3 linked regions of the Canis lupus familiaris genome follow. The protein of the gene in region 3 purifies or fractionates together with the protein of the main gene of each other region. This does not show direct contact. Links are inferred from orthologs where the notes say so. Each region holds a gene or a part of one and is shown on either strand. Other genes may lie near its edges.

What was found. Proteins that work in one complex are often made in the same cells at the same time.
Region 1: the proteins of RMND5A (region 3) and RANBP9 purify together in Homo sapiens (affinity purification with mass spectrometry; 9 studies listed by BioGRID and IntAct, counting the BioPlex papers as one, with this or other methods). This does not show direct contact. The link is inferred for Canis lupus familiaris from reciprocal best matches to the Homo sapiens genes RMND5A and RANBP9.
Region 2: the proteins of RMND5A (region 3) and RANBP10 purify together in Homo sapiens (affinity purification with mass spectrometry; 4 studies listed by BioGRID and IntAct, counting the BioPlex papers as one, with this or other methods). This does not show direct contact. The link is inferred for Canis lupus familiaris from reciprocal best matches to the Homo sapiens genes RMND5A and RANBP10.

Annotation. Positions count from the first base shown.
Region 1 is NC_049256.1:14,364,930-14,371,848, forward strand, and holds part of RANBP9 (ran-binding protein 9), read right to left. Parts: intron 3,950-6,919; coding exon 3,838-3,949; intron 201-3,837; coding exon 70-200; 3' UTR 1-69. UniProt on the Homo sapiens protein: May act as scaffolding protein, and as adapter protein to couple membrane receptors to intracellular signaling pathways. Acts as a mediator of cell spreading and actin cytoskeleton rearrangement.
Region 2 is NC_049226.1:82,311,746-82,318,840, forward strand, and holds part of RANBP10 (ran-binding protein 10), read left to right. Parts: intron 1-1,895; coding exon 1,896-2,008; intron 2,009-3,463; coding exon 3,464-3,572; intron 3,573-3,682; coding exon 3,683-3,831; intron 3,832-4,022; coding exon 4,023-4,227; intron 4,228-4,971; coding exon 4,972-5,093; intron 5,094-5,555; coding exon 5,556-5,701; intron 5,702-6,023; coding exon 6,024-6,135; intron 6,136-6,584; coding exon 6,585-6,715; 3' UTR 6,716-7,095. UniProt on the Homo sapiens protein: May act as an adapter protein to couple membrane receptors to intracellular signaling pathways.
Region 3 is NC_049238.1:38,750,844-38,758,712, forward strand, and holds the start of RMND5A (E3 ubiquitin-protein transferase RMND5A), read right to left. Parts: upstream 5,098-7,869; 5' UTR 4,572-5,097; coding exon 4,430-4,571; intron 1-4,429.

The sequences.
Region 1 (6,919 bases), on a different chromosome or scaffold from region 3:
CAGCAGAGCTGGTCTACTTCCATGTTGACTATATGCCACAATAGACATGTGAGCTCCTTAAATGCATAGCTAATGTAGGTAGTCTTCCACTGTGGCAAATGCACAGGATCCGATTCCCGATCGAGCCATCAGACCTAGACACTGTGTGGCCTGTCCCATTGCGAGGGCAAGTGGAGGTTGCTTTGGCAGATTGTGGGTTTCTGAGGAAAAAGGATTCAAAATGAAACAGCAGTTAGCAAGACATTTTCTAAAAGCAGGGAAAATACTGCCTTACCTTAAAGATTACTGATACCTACGCTGTTCTTCATGACCTAACTAGCGATGGTAATTTCTAAGCAAATGAGGATTGTGTTGGACATGCTACTCTGGATGATGCGGGTATTGGGTATTCAACTGTTAAGAATTCTTGCAGATTTAGACTTAAAGCTTTAGATACTTAAAGATGTGATTTCTTACCTGCTAATTCAGTGAGGAGTAAGGAATATTTAGTGTTCCTCAACTTGACTAAAGTCAGTTGACTTAACCAGAAAAAGACACCAGGTTTTCAGTAAAAGTTCACTGTTGGATTCTTACCCCTTTTGGGGAGAGGACCCAGCTGAGGCTGTCTCCAAGGCACTTTGGTGAGTGTTACTTGGGTTTCTGGGGGCAAATGGTGTTGGCGGCCATAAGAGGCAACAAGAGCAAAGCCACCCTCTAATCTCGGAGGGAGTTAAATTTATAATTGGTAGATAAAATATTTTAAAAATTGCCAATAAATTAGTTTTCAGGATCATACATACCATACCAGAAATTTGTCAGACAACTGTAGTACAAATGTAGTTAATCACCAAAATCTGTTCTTTGCCATAGATGAAAAAACGAATTACTGGTGAAAGTGGCCAACCACTTAGCAGCTGGTGATCCCTTCTTGGGTAGAGATGTCCACATTTTAAGTTTATGCAGATTCCCAATTTATAACAATTACTAATCAGTCTTGTAGACACAGTTGACAACAAAGGGCAAAAGCCATGACACTGGCTGGTAATGCTCCATGACTAGTTCTACTCTGGATTCCAAGTTTGCAATGTGGCGAGAGAAAGAAAAGTTCCAGAAGGAATGGAGCCCCCACCTCCAAATAAAAAGCAAATTCAGGATTTAAAGGCACAAGAGAAAATAGGATCAAGAATGTAAGAATGACTTAAAAAAAAAGAAAAGAAAAAGAATATAAGAATGAAATAATGCAAAAAAACAAAAAACATACAGATTAGTCAGGAAGTATGGTTTGGAAAGTGGTCCGTGGGTTAGGATTAAGTCCTGGCTATTCTTTGTCAAGATACTTGTTAAAACTTTGATAGTGGTAAGCATTTTTTGCCAAGTCTAATATAAGCAGGACTGGCTTTTACAGTTCTGCCTGGAGTCAGGAACAATTTTTATACACAAAACCATCATAACAATAAAAACTGAAAAGGAAACATCTTTTCAAAAATGTTGCTTGATGCTTTATAGGGAAGTAACCTAGCTCGAAGGTAAGCATCTAAGAGGTACTTTATTATAATTTTCTTGCGGGGAGGGGGGTAGCGGCAGCATGTGGTTTAAGCTAAATCTTTATAATTTTTTTGGATATAGAACTTGTAGGAATTAATGTGACAACTTTAAGCACTAATTAAAGTTGTAAAATATCACGATATTTATAAATGCACATTCACCCACAGCAATTAATCTTGTCATTAATTTTGTAGGAATATATGATTATAAATTTAAGTACTATTTATAGCTGAACCTACATACTACAAAATACATAGCACAGTAAGAATACATATATCTTGCATAAGGGTGCTAAAAAATTTAATACCTAATAACTGAATTCCTTTAAAGAACCCAAGATATAAAAAACTGTCCTAAGAAAACTAGTTCCTCCAGAAATTCTTTCCAGAAGATGTGGTATATATACACAATGGAATATTACTTGGCCACAAAAAAAGAATGGAATCTTGCCATTTGCAAAAATGTGGATGGAGCTAGATAGAGGGTATGCTGCGAAGCAAAATCAGTCATAGAAAGACAAATACCATGTGATCTCACTCTGGAATTTAAGGAAACAGATGAACATATGGGAAGGGGGGAAAAGAAAGGGAAGCAAACCATTAAGACTCTTAAAGATCGAGAGCTGAGGGTGGATGGAGGGAGGTGGGTGAGGGATGGGCATTAAGGAGGGCACTTTCATGATGAGCCCTGGGTGATAAATCACTGAATTCTACTCCTGAAACCAGTATACACCATATGTTAACTAAAATGTAAATGAAAATTTGGAGGAAGATGAGAATAAAAGCAAAGAAATGAAAATTCTTTCCAAGTCGGAGGGATACCTAAATACGAAGCAATTAAGCCTTCATGATTACCTATCACAGTAATTTCAAAAACGCTGTAAGCCAGAATTTGCCCTATAATCCCAGCACTGCTAGTACATTCTATTTTTACCAATCAAGTTAAATGAATCTCATGACCTAAGAATACAACACATTATCCAAAGAAAATTCACATTATTTTTTATTTACAAATTCTAAATTTAAGAAAACACCACAAAAGATGCCTTTAAAAAAAAACAAAACTGTTCTCATTCTAAAACCTCCATTATGTATACTTAATACACAATGAATTAACAGTCGGCCCTTGAGAAGCAGGGGTTTGAACTGCATGGGTCCACTTCCATGTGGGTTTTTAATATCGTTACAGTATCATAGATGTATTTTCCCTTATGGTCGTCTTCCTATCTTTAGGTTTACTATAAGAATAAGGTGTAAAATGCAGGTGACATACAAGATACGTGTTCATCAAGTGCTCATGTTGTTGGCAGGGCTTCCAGCCGAGAGCGGGCTATTAAGTTTTAGGGGAGTCAAAAGTTATATGCAAATTCTTCCAAGGTCAACTGCACTTAACTCTGTAAGAGCAAATAAACGGACTAATAAGGCTCAAATATGAATAGCTGCTTCCTTTACATTCTGGCCCTGAGCCCTGCCCTCTACAGTCTCCCGCTCCCATATCTACAACAGTCTGAAACCTGTTCCTAAAAGCCCCCAAACCCGACAGGCTCAAGTTGCAAGAAAAGACTATTAATGTGGAGTCTCATTTTAGAATCAGATTCTAAAGTCAGGTGAAAAAAATCATTCTTCTTTATAAATTATCTTTGAAAAGAAATTACAAGATAGTTTTACCTAGACAGCCCTGTAGAGTGTGTATGTAAATGCACAGAATGCTGCAGGCTTCATATATGAAGTGTGTTTGTTCGGTAGGTAAGTACGATCATCACAGTCTGTGGCGATCGAGTTGCTGGCGGGAACGGCAACTTCCCGTGCCTCACGCAGGCTCACCTCTGGCCAAGCCTCACTACTGAAACCCTTTCCTTTCTCCTCCATCCTTTTTATTTGCTAAGGGCATCTCGTTGAATATGCTGAACTTTATCACAAATACACTGCTCCTCTGGGGGCTGGTGCCGACCGCATGGCACGCTCACGTCACCTGGAAGTCCTTCTGTCTGCATTTTAAGCACAGTGGGAGCTGCGGGAAGTGTGGTTCAGTCCAGAAATGCTCATATATAACACGCACACAAAAGCCTCTATTCTCCCAACTTCCCAAGGTGGATCCCAAAGTCCTGGGGTTTTTTTGTTTTTGTTTTATTCCATGTGAATCCATTTCATCTGGAACTGAGATCATGGAGGGGAAGGTTTCTGTATTTCAAAATAATTTTAACTTTTAAAATGCTGAAAGCATTACCCCTTAAGATTTTACCAAAATACAGCTCCCAGCGCAAATACCATCTCAAGTATTCAGAGAATCTAGCTGAAGCTGTGCTTTACTCACCTAATATTGCACTGTTAAGAGCTGAGCACACAGGTTCTCTCTGAATTGGGTCAAGCTGATTTCCAACTGGGCTGTTCCAAGGATCCGAATAAGCGAGTAAACTGAATGCATCCTGTTGAAAACATAGTTTGGTTTTTAATTCTAACATTTAAACTACTGTGGTGCCCCTGCGGCTACCAAGTTGAGAGACAAGTAAAATACACAGCTTGGTGGCGTGAGGCTGCTGTAACATTTAAACCCACTTACCCCCTAGGACTCTGAGGCTACATATTCTTTACCAATTAGATGATGCAACAAGGCCGATGCTGCTTTCATTGGTCTTTACTATAAACAGCCATTCTCATTAATCGTCTCCCACCCCTACAACACATATACATCAGCAGAATGAAAAGGAATTCTGGAATGGGCTAAAGAGGAAGACAGAAATATCCAGATGCTAATTTATTACCACTGATCCAAATTTAACACTAAAAGGATAGGGCCTCCCTGTAGATTTTTTTAAAAACAGATGTGGGAACTCGATACATCTCACTGGACGTCCTTTTCTCACTCAGGAATCAAAAATTTCAACTGGTCCCCTTCACAAACATGCAGTAGTCCCCACCATCCTCAAGCCACCCTTCCTAAAGTGACAGATGATCTTTCCAATCAAGGACTCTTTGTCTTCTTTCCACTGAGGTGCCTGTTACAGTTTCAGACGCTGGTTTCCAGTTGAAGCTGCACTGTCAGCTGCGGTGTGGCCTCTGTGAGCAATGGCCTAAGTGTCCGTTTCCTCACGTGTCTACAGAAAAGGCTACTTGAGAACGTCATAAGGACGAACAGCTCAATGAAGTTAGCAACGTCAGTTCACTCTAATCTTTCAACATGTCTTTTTTTTTTTTTTTTTAAGATTTTATTACAGAGAAAGAGAAAGGGCATGGGGAGGGTCAGCGGGAGAGGGAGGAGGAGGCTCCCTGACTGAGCAGGGTGCCCAACGTGGGGCTCGATCCCAGGACCCTGGGATCAGGACCTGAGCCGAAGGCAGACGCTTCACCCACTGAGCCACCAAGGCGCACCCCCCTCCCCCGAGGTGTGTTATTTTGCCAAAAGTCAGAGCCCTAACCTGGAGCAGCAGTCTAGACCCAGAGAGGCAAATCACAGATGCCTTCCCCATTCCGAAGGCACACGTGGAAAAGTGCTGAGGCAGCTGTAGGTCGGTGAGGTAACACTTTCAAAATGCTGATTAGGGACCCATGAAAGGCTGAAATTCCTAGAGCAAAGTATTCCCAGGTGCAGCTGCGTGGACATTCCTCTAACCTACTTCCTACCGTGTGAAAGCAGAGGTGGGGGTAAGGTTTCCAGGCCCGGGGGACTCTGGCCCTTCTCACCCAACCAGCCTGTGTCGGGGAGGTGGGGGTGGGGGTTAGAGGCCCCTAAGGCGCCAGCTGTGCAGCCTGAGGCCACCAGAAGGGAATACACGCCCCCTACACACACGCGCGTGCACACACACACACAGGCAGTTTCCCCGCGTTGAAGGTCTCATCCATGTCAGACAGCTTGGCCCCGTTTTTAGAATGAAAGGTCTCCGAAGAGAAAAATTTACTGCCCTATTTTGAGTGCCCTGCAGCTACTTGTACGTGCCGGGAACAGGGAGGAAGCTTCGCACACCTGCTCATCACAAGATCTGCTTCTTACAGGCACCCTGCAGAGCGACTCGGTTCTGTTTCTGTTTCTGGGTGCCCCCACCCCCGAATTTACTGATGGAGGGAATATTCATGTCCTACCGCCCGGAAGCCGACTCCAATCAGTGGCATGCTTTCTGAGGGACTGATCTCTGCTCAAGACTTGACACCCACAGCCCCGCCCGGGGATCACTCCCACAGAACAGATCTAGTTCTCAGGCATCCTCAAGGACTGCCCAAGGAACGACGGGCACGTAAAAACCTTTAAGCACAAAACTATCCCCGTGGGTCTATAGACGCAGGCACGCTACCAAAAGGAGAAATGCTGCAGTCCCAAACCTCAAATCCAGACCATTCTTCTGTTTACACCTTCTAGTATTTTAAAGAAAAGCTCATGGAAAAAGGCGACGAAGGTAGTCATTTACCCGCATGGATACCGGTGACACTAGTAATTTGTTCTCATGTTTCAATACAATCGAATGTCCGTTGCACGCAGCCGCAGTCACCAGGACCCAGGAGCTCTCAAGGACTCAGACACACTGGGCCTCCGGAGGGTCCGAGCGGTCGCGGCGGGCGAGCGGGGCCACCTGACACCGCAGAGCAAGATCCGGGGCGGCAAGGCCGGGAAGGGAAGGCATGGATGGAGGCAGAGGTAAGGGGGGGTGTCCTAACGGGCCCCTAAATCACACTAAACAGCTTGGATTTGTTTTCCGACGTGGCGGTGGAGCTTTAAATCGAGGACCGATGTGGATAAAACCGGACTTCAGGAGGACGGCGGCAGCGCCGCGGAACCACGCCCCGAGTCAGGTGAGGCTGACCGCAAGACCACCACCACCACCACCTTAAAAGGAGAAAAAAGGGGGGGGCGCCTGGGGGGCTCAGTTGGTTAAGCGGCTGCCTTCAGCTCAGGTCCTGATCCCAGGGTCCTGGGATCGAGTCCTGCATTGGGCTCTCTGTCCCTCCCCCTGCTTGTGCTCGCGCTCTCTCACAGAGAAAATCTTTAAAAAAAAGAAAAGAAAAAGAAAAAAAGGTTTATACCTCCAGGTTCTTCACAAAGAGAATGAAATCGAGGCAGCGACATTAATGCTTTAAATCCCGCAGTAAAACTTAACTGAGGTGGTGACCAAAGAAATGCGAACAAGCAATTTTAAGGTCTGATGTGGAAGCCACTAGTACATCAATGCAGTACAGCCTCTGGCACTTTCCTTTTCTACTGGTGGTGAGCTGCTAGAGTTTCTGGAAAGCAGTGCAGCAGTATACAGCAAAAGCCACAATAATCCTATCCTTTGACTCTTTCTAGGACGCTCTCCCAATGCTGTAATTTTTTTTTTTTTTAAGATTTTACTTATTTATTCATGAGAGACACAGAGACACAGGCGCAGAGACACAGGCAGAGGGAGAAGCAGGCTCCACGTGGGGAG
Region 2 (7,095 bases), on a different chromosome or scaffold from region 3:
CACTGGGTTCTTCATGCAGTCTTCCTTTCTTAAAGGATTGATACAGAGGCAGGCCATGGGGCAGGGCTGAGGCAGAGGTTAGGTGGCCAGACCCTTCTCAGGAAGAGCAGCACTGTTTTGTTTTCAGCTCTCAGAGCTACTGAGAAGCTCTTCCTTGGAGGGAAGTCAGTAGTCAGTACGGTGCCAGTCCCTAAGCAGGCTTGCTGGGACAGGCAATGGGAGAGGTGGAGCTGCCGCAGCTGTGTTGAGCAGGGAATGATACTCTCAGCTTACAGTGTGCTTATATGTGTTTATATGTGTGCTGGTGTGTGTTCATATGTAGTATTTGCCAAGACTGACAAATAACTTGTATCCTGTGATTTCATGCAACTTCATTTTATGAACATTGTTAATGGCTGGATTATCTTGGAGACGAATTTACCACAAGCTCCTTGGCCAGCTTCCCTTGGTGGGAGGTTGAGGTTATTTCCTCTCTTTTGCTTGTATAGGCAACCCTTTTTAAGTAAAGAGCTTTTCACACTTAAGATTATTTTCTTGGTGTCCTTTCAAGAAGTAGAATTACTGAGTCACTGGACTGTACATATTAGTGGCTCCTGATGTGCATGTGGACTCATCTGAACCATGTTTTGTCAAAAATGTTTGCCCTTGTGTTTATAATAACATAGTTATTATAATTATCTGGAGTGTAAGATAAGTACATAATTTCATAATCAGAGGTTTATTTCATTGACTTTTTACTCTATGCTAGGCACTCCCTACGTATCATCTCATTTACTCCTTAAAACCTGAGGGGACACAGCTGAACTTCTGTGCCTTTCACATTTGTGTTTGGCAATTACAGTAATGACACTGGACACATGTTTATACCAAGGGATTCACTTCTGTGCATATCAGATGTGAGGGCTCCCCCTTCTGCTCTACATGGGTGTGTATGCACATATACACACATGTGCCACCGCTCAGCCAGCTGCGAGTGGGATCAAATGGCTACTGAGTGTTGCACTCGTCCAGGTCATTCCCCGAAGATTGTGCTCCTATTGGCCCTGTTGTTGCCTGTATCTTGGCTTCTTGGGCCCCTGACTTGTGGTGTATGGTAGAGTAGCTTGGGTCACGGGTTAGCTCCCCATCACCCTCTAGAGCCAGCACTCCTGAAGGCCAGGTTCACCTGCTGAGCTGGAATGCTTAATGCTGGGCATGTGGGACGGTCTGCAGAGGAGCCCCTCTATCTATAGAAGGCACTCACATGGCACACATCACTTCTGTCTGGGCAGCTCCTAAACTGCTTGGCTGGCTGCCACTCCAGGAAGCCTCAGAGACACTCTTGGCCATCTCTGGGCTTGGCCACAGTTCACAGGAGGCAGCCGCTGCTGTAAGGAGACGGTATGTGCCTCTGCGACTGTTTTTGTTACCGTACTTGCCCACTTGTTGGCAGCATATTCCAGAGAAACTGCAGCCCCTCCTCCAAGCCATGAGAACAGCTGTGGGGCCTACCCCCTCCGCAGCCTGACTTGCATGAGCACCGGGGGATGTTTTTATTTTGTTGCAGCCTCTTTTTTTTTTTTTTTTTTTAATTTTTATTTATTTGTGATAGTCACAGAGAGAGAGAGAGAATGAGGCAGAGACACAGGCAGAGCGAGAAGCAGGCTCCATGCACCGGGAGCCCGACGTGGGATTCGATCCCGGGTCTCCAGGATCGCGCCCTGGGCCAAAGGCAGGCGCCAAACTGCTGCGCCACCCAGGGATCCCCTATTATAGCCTCTTTATTCTCGTTCTATGGAGGTTGCACCTCCAAGATGTGTTTCAGGAAGCCCAAACAGGGAGGTAGCTGGTCCTATCAGATGATCAGTGAGAAATGCAGTTCTAGAGTGTCACCTTGAGCATTTCCTTTCTTCTAGCATGGTCTCATCTTACCTGGTGCATCATGGGTATTGTGCCACAGCCACGGCTTTTGCCCGAATGACTGAAACCCCGATTCAGGAAGAACAAGCATCCATAAAGAACAGACAAAGTAAGGTTGATTCTCCTCTCCCCTCTCCCTCCTTCCCTCACCTGTCCCTAACTCTGCTCTCTGGCTTGTGCCAGCCTCGGGTAACCTGTCAGGAGTCCATTCGGCTCTGGCCCTGCCCAGCCAGTACAGCCCCAGGCTCTGCTTCTGCCCCTCCTTCAAGACAGCGCTGCCCAGGCGGACAGCCCGGCAGCATGGGAATGAGTGCCTCAGTGCGGCCTCCCTGCTGCACACTCTGATGGCCCGGCCCAGGCTGGGGCCCGGCATGGCTGACTCTCACTCCTCTGTGCCTGTTTTCCTTCCCCCGAATCCTGGATTCTAACAGCCTCCTGCTCCTAGTCTTCTGGAAGAATGTGTTTGCATCTTAGCAAACCAATGTCTTGCCTTTCCCCTTTACTCAGCTTTAGTCGTTATGTCTGTTCCTGGCCAGAGAAAGGATTGACGTAGTCAGACAGGGTGAAGGCTGGTTCTCAGTGGCTGCTGGGGTAGCACCTCTCTCTGCTTCCACCTCTGGTCCTGCGTTTTACAGACCACCAAAGGAAGGAGCCAAAGGAAACTATACTGGCCTGTAATGTGTTTGGGGCTCTTTTGTGGAAAGAGGGTGCTGGGAAAGAGGAAACAGAGCCCAGAGAGGAGATAGGAAGAGAAGAGGAGAGTGAAGGAGAGCAGGTGTGTGTGGATGTGTATGTCTGTGTGTGCCTGCTTGTGTCTCTGAACCTGTCGTCTCTGTGTATGTGCATGTGTCCGTGTCTCCCAGAGAAGCTCCGCCCAGCCAGCCAGATGGAAAGGGATCCCAGACTTGGGATCTACAAATGAGAACCTCAGACCCAGAAGTCGCTCCCAGCAAGATACACCAGGCCCCAGAGCAAGAGCAAGATGCTGATGGCCTGAGAGGTGTCAACATCAGAGATGCCAGTGTGAGGAGGGTGACCTCCTCTCCCAGCAGGGAGCATGCTGAAGCCTCTGAAGATTGCCAAGACTTGGGGCCTGGCCTAGAAACCATTGTGCTCCCATTGCCACCCCATTGTGAGGCCTGAAAGGAGAGAAGTCTGTCTGAAGAGGAGCACCTAGGGATACCAAGCAGCCTGGGTGCCCAGCTCCAGATCATGCCCCCAGAGCCAGAGCCCCTCCCCATGCCCGGGGCCCTGGCTGTCTGACCTCCATAGGAGCAGGCCTCCACATTTGTTCTCCTGCCTCTGCATTGAGTCCTGCCTCTGTTTCCCTCTGTCATTCTTTGAGGACTCCCTGAAACTTGGCAGAAACCAGGGTCTGTTGTGGGGCTGGGAGGCCAGGTTCTTTCTTCAACCTCTTCTGTGAGCATCTCAACCAGGCATGCCATTTTGAGCCAGCCCACCTGACTGTTGGCTAGACCATGCTTGGGGCTGGTAGTGTGCAGGCATGTGGCTGTGAAGAAGGTCTGCAGCCCTTCACTCACTGCCATACTCTTGCTCTCTGCAGAGATCCAGAAGCTGGTGCTGGAGGGCCGTGTGGGTGAGGCCATTGAGACCACACAGCACTTCTATCCAGGACTGCTGGAACATAACCCTAACCTGCTCTTCATGCTCAAGTAAGTTTTGAGCACCACCAGTTCCCTCCTAGCCCAGCCCCTCTCAGCTGGTGGTGGGAACATATGGCCCAGACCAAGCCCAGAGCATTGCCGCTCTGCTCCCTCTGCAGGTGCCGACAATTTGTGGAGATGGTGAATGGGACTGACAGTGAGGTCCGCAGCTTGAGCTCCCGAAGTCCCAAGTCCCAGGACAGCTACCCTGGCTCCCCCAGCCTCAGCCCCCGACACGGCCCTAGTAGTTCCCACATGCACAACACAGGTCAGCCACTCTCCAGAGGGCTCGGGGAAGCACTGGTGTGGAGAAGGAAGGCCACCTACATGCCCTTCCCTGGGCTTGGCTCAGGGCCCAATGTTGGATGTGGGGGAAGGGAAATGGAACCACTGTGGTTATTCCTGGGGCCCCATTATGGCAAACTGCCCCACCTCTTCTGACTGTCCCCTGGTTTCCAGGAGCAGACAGTCCCAGCTGCAGCAATGGCATCGCATCCTCGAAGAGCAAACAGAACCACAGTAAATACCCTGCACCCAGCTCCTCTTCTTCCTCCTCGTCTTCCTCATCCTCCTCATCCCCATCATCTGTCAATTACTCCGAGTCCAACTCAACAGATTCCACCAAGTCCCAGCCCCGCAGCAGCACCAGTAACCAGGAGACCAGGTGCCTGTCCTGCTCTGCTTCCTCTGTGCCAGCTGGGCTCACTGTAGCCTGTTTTGAGTGCCACACCCCATGCTCTAAATCCCCCACCTCCATCCCTGGTCTGTGCCTGGAGTAGCTGCTACTGACTTGCCAGGCCAGGCATTGACTCCAGCTTCTGGCGCTACCTGTGGCCTAGCTACCACTTTCCTCAGCCCTGACTTTCTCAAGAGACACTGCCAGACTGAGATAACGCCAGGGTGAGGATGTCTCCTCACGGGAGACCAGGCCTAGCAGAACCCCTAGGATCTACACTGAAGAAGCGTTTACTGGGTATGGCTTGAGATCAGACAGATGGGGCAGCAGAGTAAAGTTTTAGGCTGTAGACTACAGGTGGCTTTCAGCAGCCCCCAGGCATATCTCAGTGCTTGACCTGAGTTTGGTGCCTAGAGATACTTCTCAGGGGTCCCTGGTCACTGGGGATGGGGGAGGAATGGGTAGAAGGGATGTGCCAACTCAGACAAAGGCCAGGAAGAGGAAAGCCACAGAGGCAGCATTGAGACAAGAGTGAAAATCAGGTGACAGGTTTCTGGGGATAGCTGATACCAGAGTAGGCACCAAGTGTTGGAGCCTAAGAAGCCTTTCATGCTCCTAGGGTCCCTTGATTTTCCCTACAGCAACCTATGGCTGAAGCCTGAATGGAGGCCTAGCTAGGCTGCGCCTAACCACATGCCTGTGGCCAACTCCCACCTCAACCTTTCTCCACAGTGACAGTGAGATGGAGATGGAAGCAGAGCATTACCCCAATGGTGTGCTGGAGAGTGTATCTACACGCATTGTCAATGGCGCCTACAAACATGAGGACCTACAGACAGATGAGTCCAGCATGGGTAAGAACCATGGCCCAGCATGGTGTTACATGGGTGGTAATAGCTTAGTCCAGATGCCTTTGCCCCCTGGGAGGGGATTGGCATGGACAGGCTTTGTCAGCCTGAGAAGCTTTAAACGGACCTGGTCCACTGCTGCCTTAGTCAGTCAGGAACGGGTGTTTGAAGCGGGAAGGTCCCTGGCCTGCTGCTGAGAGCAGGGCCCCTGCGTCTGAGGCTAGAGGGAGTTGGTGAGAGTGGGCATTCTTATGAGCACTGTACAGAGTGGGAAGGAGAGAAGCTGAGTCCAGACTCCCAGTCACATGCTAGGTGGACAGAAAGCACCTCAGCTATGGATGGTCCACCTAACTTGCCTCTGGCAGTGCCACCAAGATCCTTATTGCCATCTCCTTTTTGGGGTCCCCACGCCAGTCTCCTCTCCTCCTTATCCCTCATGATTTGTTCTCTGCTGGGCTCTGGGTGCAGATGATGGGCATCCTCGGCGGCAACTCTGTGGGGGCAACCAGGCTGCCACAGAAAGGATTATCCTGTTCGGTCGCGAGTTGCAGGCACTGAGTGAGCAGCTGGGCCGGGAGTACGGCAAGAATTTGGCCCACACGGAGATGCTGCAGGTATAGAACAAGCCAGGTGCTCACACAAAGCAGACCCCCATTTGGTATGGGGGTGGGGCAGGTCAACCCTGGGAGGGCCTTGGGGGCAGCAGCAACAGGACAGAATGGGCTCTAGTCAAGTCCACAATGGGAAACGGGACATCCAGTATAGACACAACCCTCTCTAGGTCCTGGAGAGGGCACAGTCCTTTCTGACCCTATGCTCAGGGTTTGTGGTGCCCTCAATGGGGCCTGTATGGGCCCTGTATGCCCTCCGGAGCCATGGAGGTGTTTATGGGTGTGGTATGTACCACAGTCCTCTCAAGAATGCCCTGTCCCTTAGGATGCCTTTAGCCTGCTGGCATACTCAGACCCCTGGAGCTGCCCTGTTGGCCAGCAGCTTGATCCCATCCAGAGGGAGCCTGTGTGTGCTGCCCTTAACAGCGCCATTTTAGGTAAGTGGATCTAACAAAAACAGAAGCTGGTCCATGAGTGCCCTAGGTGGCCCCTCCACTCTTTCCCCAGGAATTGCTGATGTTTGTTCAAATCAGGTCAGTGAGCTCTGCCCTGGCAATCTCTGGTAGCCCAGAGGACTTGGGTTTCCATGGCTGAACCTAAATCCTGACCTCCTTCTGCCCAACTGACTTGGCTGACTACATCATGATAGACCCGGGCTTATGACTGTGGGCCTGGCCAGCCCATGGCTCTGAAGAGAGCTTAGGTCCTTAGGTTCCTGGCATGGCTACGGGGCCATGAGCTGGTGGTTGGGACATACACAGAGACATATGAACACTGTGTTTTAAGGGATTCTGTCCACTGCCCCTACTTTCTGCTCCCAAGGGAACTTTGCCCTGAGCCCAACTCCTGGGCAAAGCAGTGACCAGGCCTTGTCTCTCCTCCACAGAGTCTCAGAACCTGCCAAAGCAGCCCCCTCTGATGCTCGCCCTGGGTCAGGCATCTGAATGTCTACGGCTCATGGCCCGAGCAGGCCTGGGATCTTGTTCCTTTGCCAGAGTCGACGACTACTTGCACTAGCAGACCATGCCAGCTGGCCCCACCTGGCCCTCCCTCAGCCCCAGGGCTGGAGCAGCCCTGCCCTCCATAGGCATTTGGCGCAGGGACCTGGAAGCCATGGGCAGAGTCCATTCCTCCTGCCTGGCCTCCCCCACTCCCTTTCCTGTCCTTTCATCCTTCCCTCCCTCCCTCCCTTCCTTCCTTCTTTCCTTCCTTCTTTATTTCCTGCCTGCCTGCCCTCCCTCCCTCCTTCATTCCTTCTTCCTTTTCCTTCTTCCCCCCACCCCCACCCTCAGTTTCTCTCTCCCCTTCACGTGCAGCGGCCTCTGACACAGTATTGGCTGGTTACTCTCATGTAGCGCCTTCTACTTTGAAAGGGGGGTCTTGTTTTTGAGGAGGGG
Region 3 (7,869 bases):
GTGAAGTATTTTAATAGTCATGAATTTACTTTTAATAGTTTATCTAATACACCAAATCTATGATTTCACAAATATCAGTGCCTACGGTGAAGATAAATCTACTTAAGTGAAACCATGAACCCATCTGAAAAACAAGAGCACACATGTGAGAGTGAAGTTTGAGAAGCACCAGTGCATTACCCAAATTAGATCAAGGGCACACTGGGAATGATCACCAAATAGTATCAATCACAATGCATCTTAAATTAGACCAAACTTCATATGCACAGGGAAACTCACTGAAAAGCTGGTACAACTAAATAACAGTGCTCTCTCCTCTTTCCAAAAAGTTGAGAAAATTAAGAGAATCTAAAGTTTAATCAAAGTAAGGTTAAGAATCCGAGCTTGGTACAATCCTTGAACTTCTAGCAAATTAAGCTTAAAAATGGTATTCCTTTCCCATCCCAAACACCTCAGCACAGACCTTTCATTTGCTGTGAACAGTCCTCTTTAATCCCTTTTACTTCAGACACCTAACTCAGCAGGTTCTGGATCACTCCCCCATCATCCAATCTACCACTCTGAAGTTCCCCAGGCAGCTCTTGGGCCTGAAGAAAGCCTTTAAGTCAATCAGTCTTCAGGAAGAAGAATGATCAGAATTCAGAACTTCTTTTTAGTATTCGCTGTCATTCTTTACTGCCTCTTCTCTCTTCTATTACTGCTATGCTGCCCCTCAAATACTAAAACTCCATGGCTATGACCTAGCCAAAGCCTGCACTTAACTGTCAGAGCCTTATACTCTCAAAGGACTCCTCTGACTTAGGCCTCACATTCCCATTAAAAATAAATAAATTAAAAAAAAAAAAAAAAAGATTTTCCTTTTCCCAGACTGGACTTGGTTAGGGGTAGATTAAATGGCAGAGTACAAACTAATCCACCAGGTGTGAGTGACCATCCACATCACCCTTCTTCTCCCAAAAGGTATTTGAATGAAGACAAATGCATTTTAAAATAATTAATTACAGAAAATTTATATGAAAGAATTTCAGGCTATGTAGAGGCAATTTAGAGCAGATGAAAGAAATGTTAGGGCTCACTGCAGGACTATGTGTAGGCCAGTTGCCAGGTGAGCCCCCTTTGGCCAGATTTTATTCACAATCTGGAATAAAAGTGGTGAGAGTGGACAAGGGTCGTCAACAGACTTACTAAATAACCCATTTAGTAAAATCAGTTTCCACCACAAACTATTCTAACTGTCCTCATTTAGTACAGTTGTTCATACTTTGGAAAAAAGATATTTAAACATAAGAAAAATAGGGGATCCCTGGGTGGCTCAATGGTTTGGCCCCTGCCTTCAGCCCAGGGCGTGATCTTGGAGTCCCGGGATCGAGTTCCACATCGGGCTCCCTGCATGGAGTCTGCTTTTCCCTCTGCCTTGTGTCTCTGCCTCTCTCCCTCTCTGTGTCTCTCATGAATAAATAAAATCTTTAAAAAAAAAAAAAAAGCGTATAAACATCAGAAAATATAAATCATCCTTAAAAACTTAACTAATCCCTTGACCATAGCTAAAAAGGTATTTCTGAATCAGGCAGTTACTCACCATCAGTATGATACCATGATCTATATGGTTCCCAAGATTCTACTTTATTCACATCATATTCTTACAAGAATATTATCACAACTCCAGAGAATGAGATCCAAAGCCCAGACAGATGGTCCCAATTGGAGCCCCTCTCTCAGATCATAGGAGCTCACAAGATCAATTGCCCAGACAAATATATTCAAACTTGAAAATGGAGTTCCAAATTCAGATTTCAGTAGACATGACTTTAGGAAGGGTATATCTAAGATACAAATGTAATAAACACCACATCACTAGCAAAGAATATCAGAAATTACCTGCTTTGAAAATTCCTATAATCTAGATACCAAAGCACGATGTCTGCCTTCACACATAAGAATACTGTAAGAAAAAAAAAAGAGTCCACTTTGGAAACCAGACCTGGTATTTATTTTTCTTTCGTGTTTCATAACTGCCTTTAGTCATGTAATCCTATTATTAAAAAATTAAAGAAAATCAAAGAAATAGTAATATCAAACTGCAATTTGGTAGACAAGACAGTAAAAAATAGGTGGCTGAGAAAGGAACATATGTAATTCACCAAGTCAGACCATTTGAATAGTATGGCATACTCTGTGGCTAATACCCTCACACCATATATTCCTTGCGAAACTCCAATACCAAGCAAAAACAATCTGTCTAAAGCAAACTCCTGCTTCAGCATTTTCTGCCAATTATTTTATCCATCTAAGATAGGCCCCAAATTCCCTAAAATGAGGCTTGCAATCACATTCCCCTTTAATTAATACCACCCCCCTCCTTTTTTGTAGGAAGATATTTTACTTTCCATCTTCTCTCTCAAATTTTGCCTATCCAACCCCTCAATCTCTGACCTGGTCCCTAAAAAGGAAACGCTCCTTCCACCTCTCCAAGTTTAGAACCTTCACTCATTCTCTACCTTCCAGTCTTTAACAAGACAAAGATTTCCTGTAACAGATGGGCAGGAAGGTGGACAGAGACAGAGGGACACAGGCACGCACACACCCCTCCCATTCCTGTACTTAAACAGCCTTGGGCCTCCTTACACTTCAGTTCACACATTTTTCTTTACACCCACTAATCTAGTTTATTTTAACTCTTTGAAGCTGCAAGCACAGAGGGTCACTGACTTCCAATAGCCAAATACAAGCTGCACAACCTCTCTTTTTCTAAGCTCCTGCCTTTTCTGCTTCTGCTGGCTCCTCCAGCTCTCTCTCCAAGAGGCGTTCAAGGTGTGGTTAGACCCTACAGTCTTTCTTCCCTGCTGCCTACGTGACCTCCTTCACTCTTCTCTGTAGAAATACTAGGAAACCATCTTCGATCATACTTTCCCCAATTCTAACCATGCATCTTTAGCCACCAGTGAACATTAAGTTCTTGATTCTGTCTTCACTAGCCCTTCAGCTTTATCTCACATGCCCCAAATCAAATTCACCAAAGCCTTCCCAGGACCCCCCATCCAACTCCACCTCGGCTTCCCCTTCACAGGCAGCCAACTCCACCTCGGCTTCCCTTCACAGGCAGCCAACTGGTCTGCTTATTTTTCCATATTAATATTTTAACTCCCATTCCCACTACGGTTGCAGGCTCACTTCTTATCTGGACTTCAAAAGTGACTGCCATGTTCAGAATAAGAGGTTTTCAGACTCCTTTATTATGGGCTAGCACTTCCCCTCCACTGAAAGGAGTCTAGAAAGAAAGACGTAGGAGAGGAAAGGAGGGGAGAGGCTCAGCTGCACCACTGTCTTCACCTCACCCTATGTAACAGCATTTCATCCCAGCTACCAAACTTTCCATAAATTGCTGTTCAGCTAGGAGTTGAGAAGGCTCCTCCAAACTCTTGAATGAACCCATTAAATAAAGTCCTTCATTTCTTGAGCAGGAGGAACACCACTATGAATATGTTACTCTAAGGATACCAGACCTTTAATGTTACTTAAAAAAAAAAAAAACAAAAACCCAAACCAAAAACCCTCCCCAACCAGCTTCCACAAGTTAACTTCCGCAAAGTATCTGCCCCCAGGTCCTAGAGCAATAAAGAAATAATCTAGGCAGACCACCTTCTACAGAAAATCGTGTTTTCTAAAAGGAAAACAAGTAAAAACTTGACCAGGTAAGGCAAGTATCTCACAACTTGCGCCACAATTTGCTTCAGGAAAGTTGCCTGTTCTTCCTCAGGCTACATTAGGAGAGCTGAACAGTTCGATTCGGCTCGTTTCCTAGGAATCCTGTCTGTGCTGCTGCGGAGCTAAGAGCTGCTTCCACACAAGAGTCAAATCGTGAAGTTGCAGCAACGGCTGTTCTGTTAACCCACAGCTAAGAATAACACTCGACTTTCTAATTTAAAAAAAGAACGGAAAGAAGAAGAAGAAGGGGTAAAAAAAAAAAAAAAAAAAAAAAAGACTTGGAAAGTAAGTCCCCGGACCAAGGATCTGGGGCAGAAGAAGGGGCTTCCGGCACTGACCCTCTTATCAACCAGAGCCTTGGGTCCAACGCACTTAGCGCACCTTCGACCGCGGGGACCTGAGCGCGCCCGGCCCGGGCGGGGGCGAGGGCCGCCCACCCCGGGACGGTGGCAGTTTGCAAGGGCCACGGACCAGCCCCCACACACGTCTAAGCCGGCTGGACCCCGTTCCGGGCTGGGTTTCCGGGTGGAGGGCGCTCACTCTTTATTGACAACGAGGTCGGGGCAGGTTCGAGGCAAATCGGGAGAAGGAACAGTCACAGGGGCAGGGGCGCGGGGTGGGGTGAGGGGTCTCCGCGTCTCGGGGGAGGCAGGGGCATCCCTCCTGGCCCGCCGGGGCCCGAGGGGCCGGGCCCTGCCCCGCGCGCCCACCCGGGCCGCCCTACCGTGGCTCTGCAGGATCTCGTGCTTGAGGCCGCCCGTGTAGTCGATAAGCTCCTCCAGGCCGCGCTCGCACAGCTGCCCGTAGCCCGAGAACTTGTGCAGCACCTTCTCCAGCTCGCGCTCCACCGTCACGCATTGATCCATCCCGGAGGCGGCGGCGGCGGCGGCGCTCGGCTCCCCGGCGCCCGGGTGTCCGCAGCCGTTCGGCCCGGGCCCGGCCGAGGCCGCGTCCTGCTCCTCGTCCCCCAGGCGGGCGGCGCGGGCGGCGGCGGCGGCGGCGACCGAGGCAGCGGGTGCGCTAGCCGCGGCGCCGGGGGAGCCCGGTGCAGCCCGTGCCCGCCTGCCCCATGCCCCCTCCCCCCGCCCCCGGAGCCTCGCCGCCGATCCCGCTCGCTCTCCGCACCCGGCCCCGCGACCCTGGTCCTCGCCCGCCGCGTTCGGCTGCCCGCGGCGGCGCCGCCGATTGTTTTTGTTTTCACGGGAACCGACCGATGACCTGGTTCTCCCGGGCGGCACCAAGCGCCGCCGACCCGAGGGGTGGGGGGAGCAGCCACCCCAGCAAGGGAAAGAGGCGGCGCGGGCCGTACCAAGCGCACCCTCGAGGGGGAGCCGCCTAGCGTTCGCGGGCGGAGGACGCGACGGCCGTCCGCTCACGCCGCCGCTCTAAAGGTGTGGGCAGTACCACGCGGGATGCGTGCGAGGGAGAGGGCGAGGGTGGAGCAAGAACCCAATTGGCCCGAGGAGCTCAAAAGGGAACTTTGGAGACAGCCCCGGCGCTCGCAGAGCGCTACAACTGCGCTCTCCGTAAACAAGAGGGTGGAAACCGTCCCTAACCACTCCGCCCAGAAACGGGGAAAAAGAACCAATGGGCGCGGGCGGTACGTAAGGGACCAACGTCCTCCAATCCCTGGCTGAGGCGTAAACCCTCAGCCAATCGTAGCCTAGGGGCCGAACCAACGGTCTCGCTGTTGGAGGGGGGTGACTTGGGGTGCGTACTGGGAAGCAAGTTATTTCGGGAAAGCCAGGAGGGAGAACGAGACAGAGGGGAAGGTCTGTTTTCGAAAGGAGTTCGCCCCGGTCATCATCTGTGTCCTCTCACCCGCACTCCTGGGACTACTGTTATTCCGAAGTTTGGGAAGACGGGACTCGTCGGACGGAAAACGGAGCCCGGCGGGGCGGGGGTGATGCCGGAGCACGGCCGAGGAGGGCTGCTCGGTAGCCGCGCGGGGCGGGCGCGGGGAAGGGCCCAGCGGGGCCGTCGGAGCTGCTGCGACGCTGGTGCCGCGGGGAGGTCGCGCTGCCCACCCCGCTGTCGGCCTCGGCGCCTCGGCCCCAGGGCTTGGACTCTCCCAGCCGGTAGCCGGCGCGCCGCACGGTGTGCGGGCAGCTCCACGCAGTGGAAAGCCGCGCGGGAGGGCGGCCCCGCCTGGCCCCTGCTCTCTGGCGCCTTATTCCATCCATACGAACTGAGTCACCTCCTCCTTGGCGTCAATCCTTCCCCGACCGCCGCGGGGTCTCCAGCCTCGGCCTGTATCCCCTCGCGCACTAGGCTCCAGTGGCGTTGTTAGCTTTCCTCGGAAAGCCGCATTAGTTAATCACCTCGGGGCCTCTGCGCTTAGCTCCTCGTTGGCCTGGAAAACGCGGACACCTTTCTCATCCTTGTCTCAGTTCACTTGTCCGCTCAGAGGACCCTCCCCTGACCACCCTGATAGGTACACCGCTCCACCTTCCTGCACTCCTCCAGTGTTGTGTCATATTTTTTTGTGTATATATATCAGCCGTATCACCAGTTTTCTTTCACACCATTTGTTAAAAGCTGAAATAACCGGGTTCGATTTTTCGTTTCCTTTTCCGCCAGCCCTTCTTCAGTAAATCCCCATAAAGGCAAGCCCCTTCCCCATCTTTATCTGTGCCCGAAAGTGGTGCCTAGCAACATAGTGGGCTTTTTTTTTTTTTTTTTTTTTTTTTGTAATTAAGGCGAAATCTTGTTGAGTCTCAATTTCCTTTTTTATAACTTGGAAATAACTGCAGTTAATAGTGCAGCATGGGATTCTTGGGAAATTAAGTGAGATATCATATGTAAACATTAATAGTAAGCAAGGAATAGCCATAGGAGAAATGGTGGTGGTTAGTATTGCCTGTTCCCAGAAGTAAATCTGAGATGGCAACCTAAAATGGAATCATGTTGATCTAGTCTCGAGTCAATTTATTCATTTCTTGGTGATTTTCAAGAGTGGCCCTAGCTATTGCTGTTATAAATCTCTTTTCCCCTCTCCACCAAACCAATTTTCTTTCTCCTCTTTCTTGGCAGATGGTCCCGATTGCTGTTTCACTGAGAAGATAAACATCCAGCTCCAGCATCCTCTGCCATTCTTCTCAGAGTATTTGTACCATCCGTTGTGAACTGTTGTCAAGTATTTGAAGGAATGAGAGTTTTTTCTACCTTCTAAGTTGCCAGCCTCGACTTGCTGGCTTCATCTCACCTTCCTCCAGACCTCCTTCCCCTCCTATATACTAGGTTCTTCCTTTCTGCTTTGAGACTGAATGGAACTGACCTACCTGGGGAATTGGGAGAGAGATGGTTTTTGTTTATCCCTTCTCAAATGCTTTCCTTTTCCTCTACTCTTCACTGCTAAACTGCCCAGACAAACCTTTTCACTTTTTCCTCCCTGACCTCCTTGATAAGCTCTCTCTTTTCTCAGTATTTTTTTTTTCCTCGAGCTCACCGCTACACAAGAAAATTCTGACTTACTCTCACCTGTAAAATTCTCCCTTGACATTGCCCTGGTAAAATAATTCAGTCACACCTTCTCCCTTTCTGGCTCATTTAGCCGTCTATGTGGGTGGGTATTTGCCTCAGGTTTTATCCTCAACCTCTTTTTCCTTTACCTGCTGTCCTGGGACAACACATTACAATTTCCCCTCTCCAGCCATAATCTGCCTCATAAACTCTAGCTTCACATTCCCTCCAACCACCAAGACAGCATCATCCAGAGGACTCATTACCTCCAAGGCAACATACTAAAAAAAGTGCATTATTTCTTTAAAAAATCAACTTTATTCCCTTTGACTCCTCTGTTTTTTGTCAGCATTACCTTATGTTTGTCAGCATTACCTTAACTCCTAGCTACAGCTACCACTTCTCCATCCTTATCTTTTGTTGAGTAACTTCTATACCCAACATGGGGCTTGAACTCAACCCCAAGATCAAGAGTCTCTTGCCCCACCGACTAAAGTTGGGTATCCCTCCATCCTCATCTTTAACTTACCTGCAGGACTCTCAACCCTTTATCAAATGCCTCGACTCCACTAACTTGTTTACATTGCTACCCATCTCCATCCTTCCCAAGATCCTTTTGCTAATTCAACTGCCTTCATTCACTCCCAGAATATTGATGTTCCTCAGGATTTTGTCCTCATCAGTATCCCTAGGGATACAGAT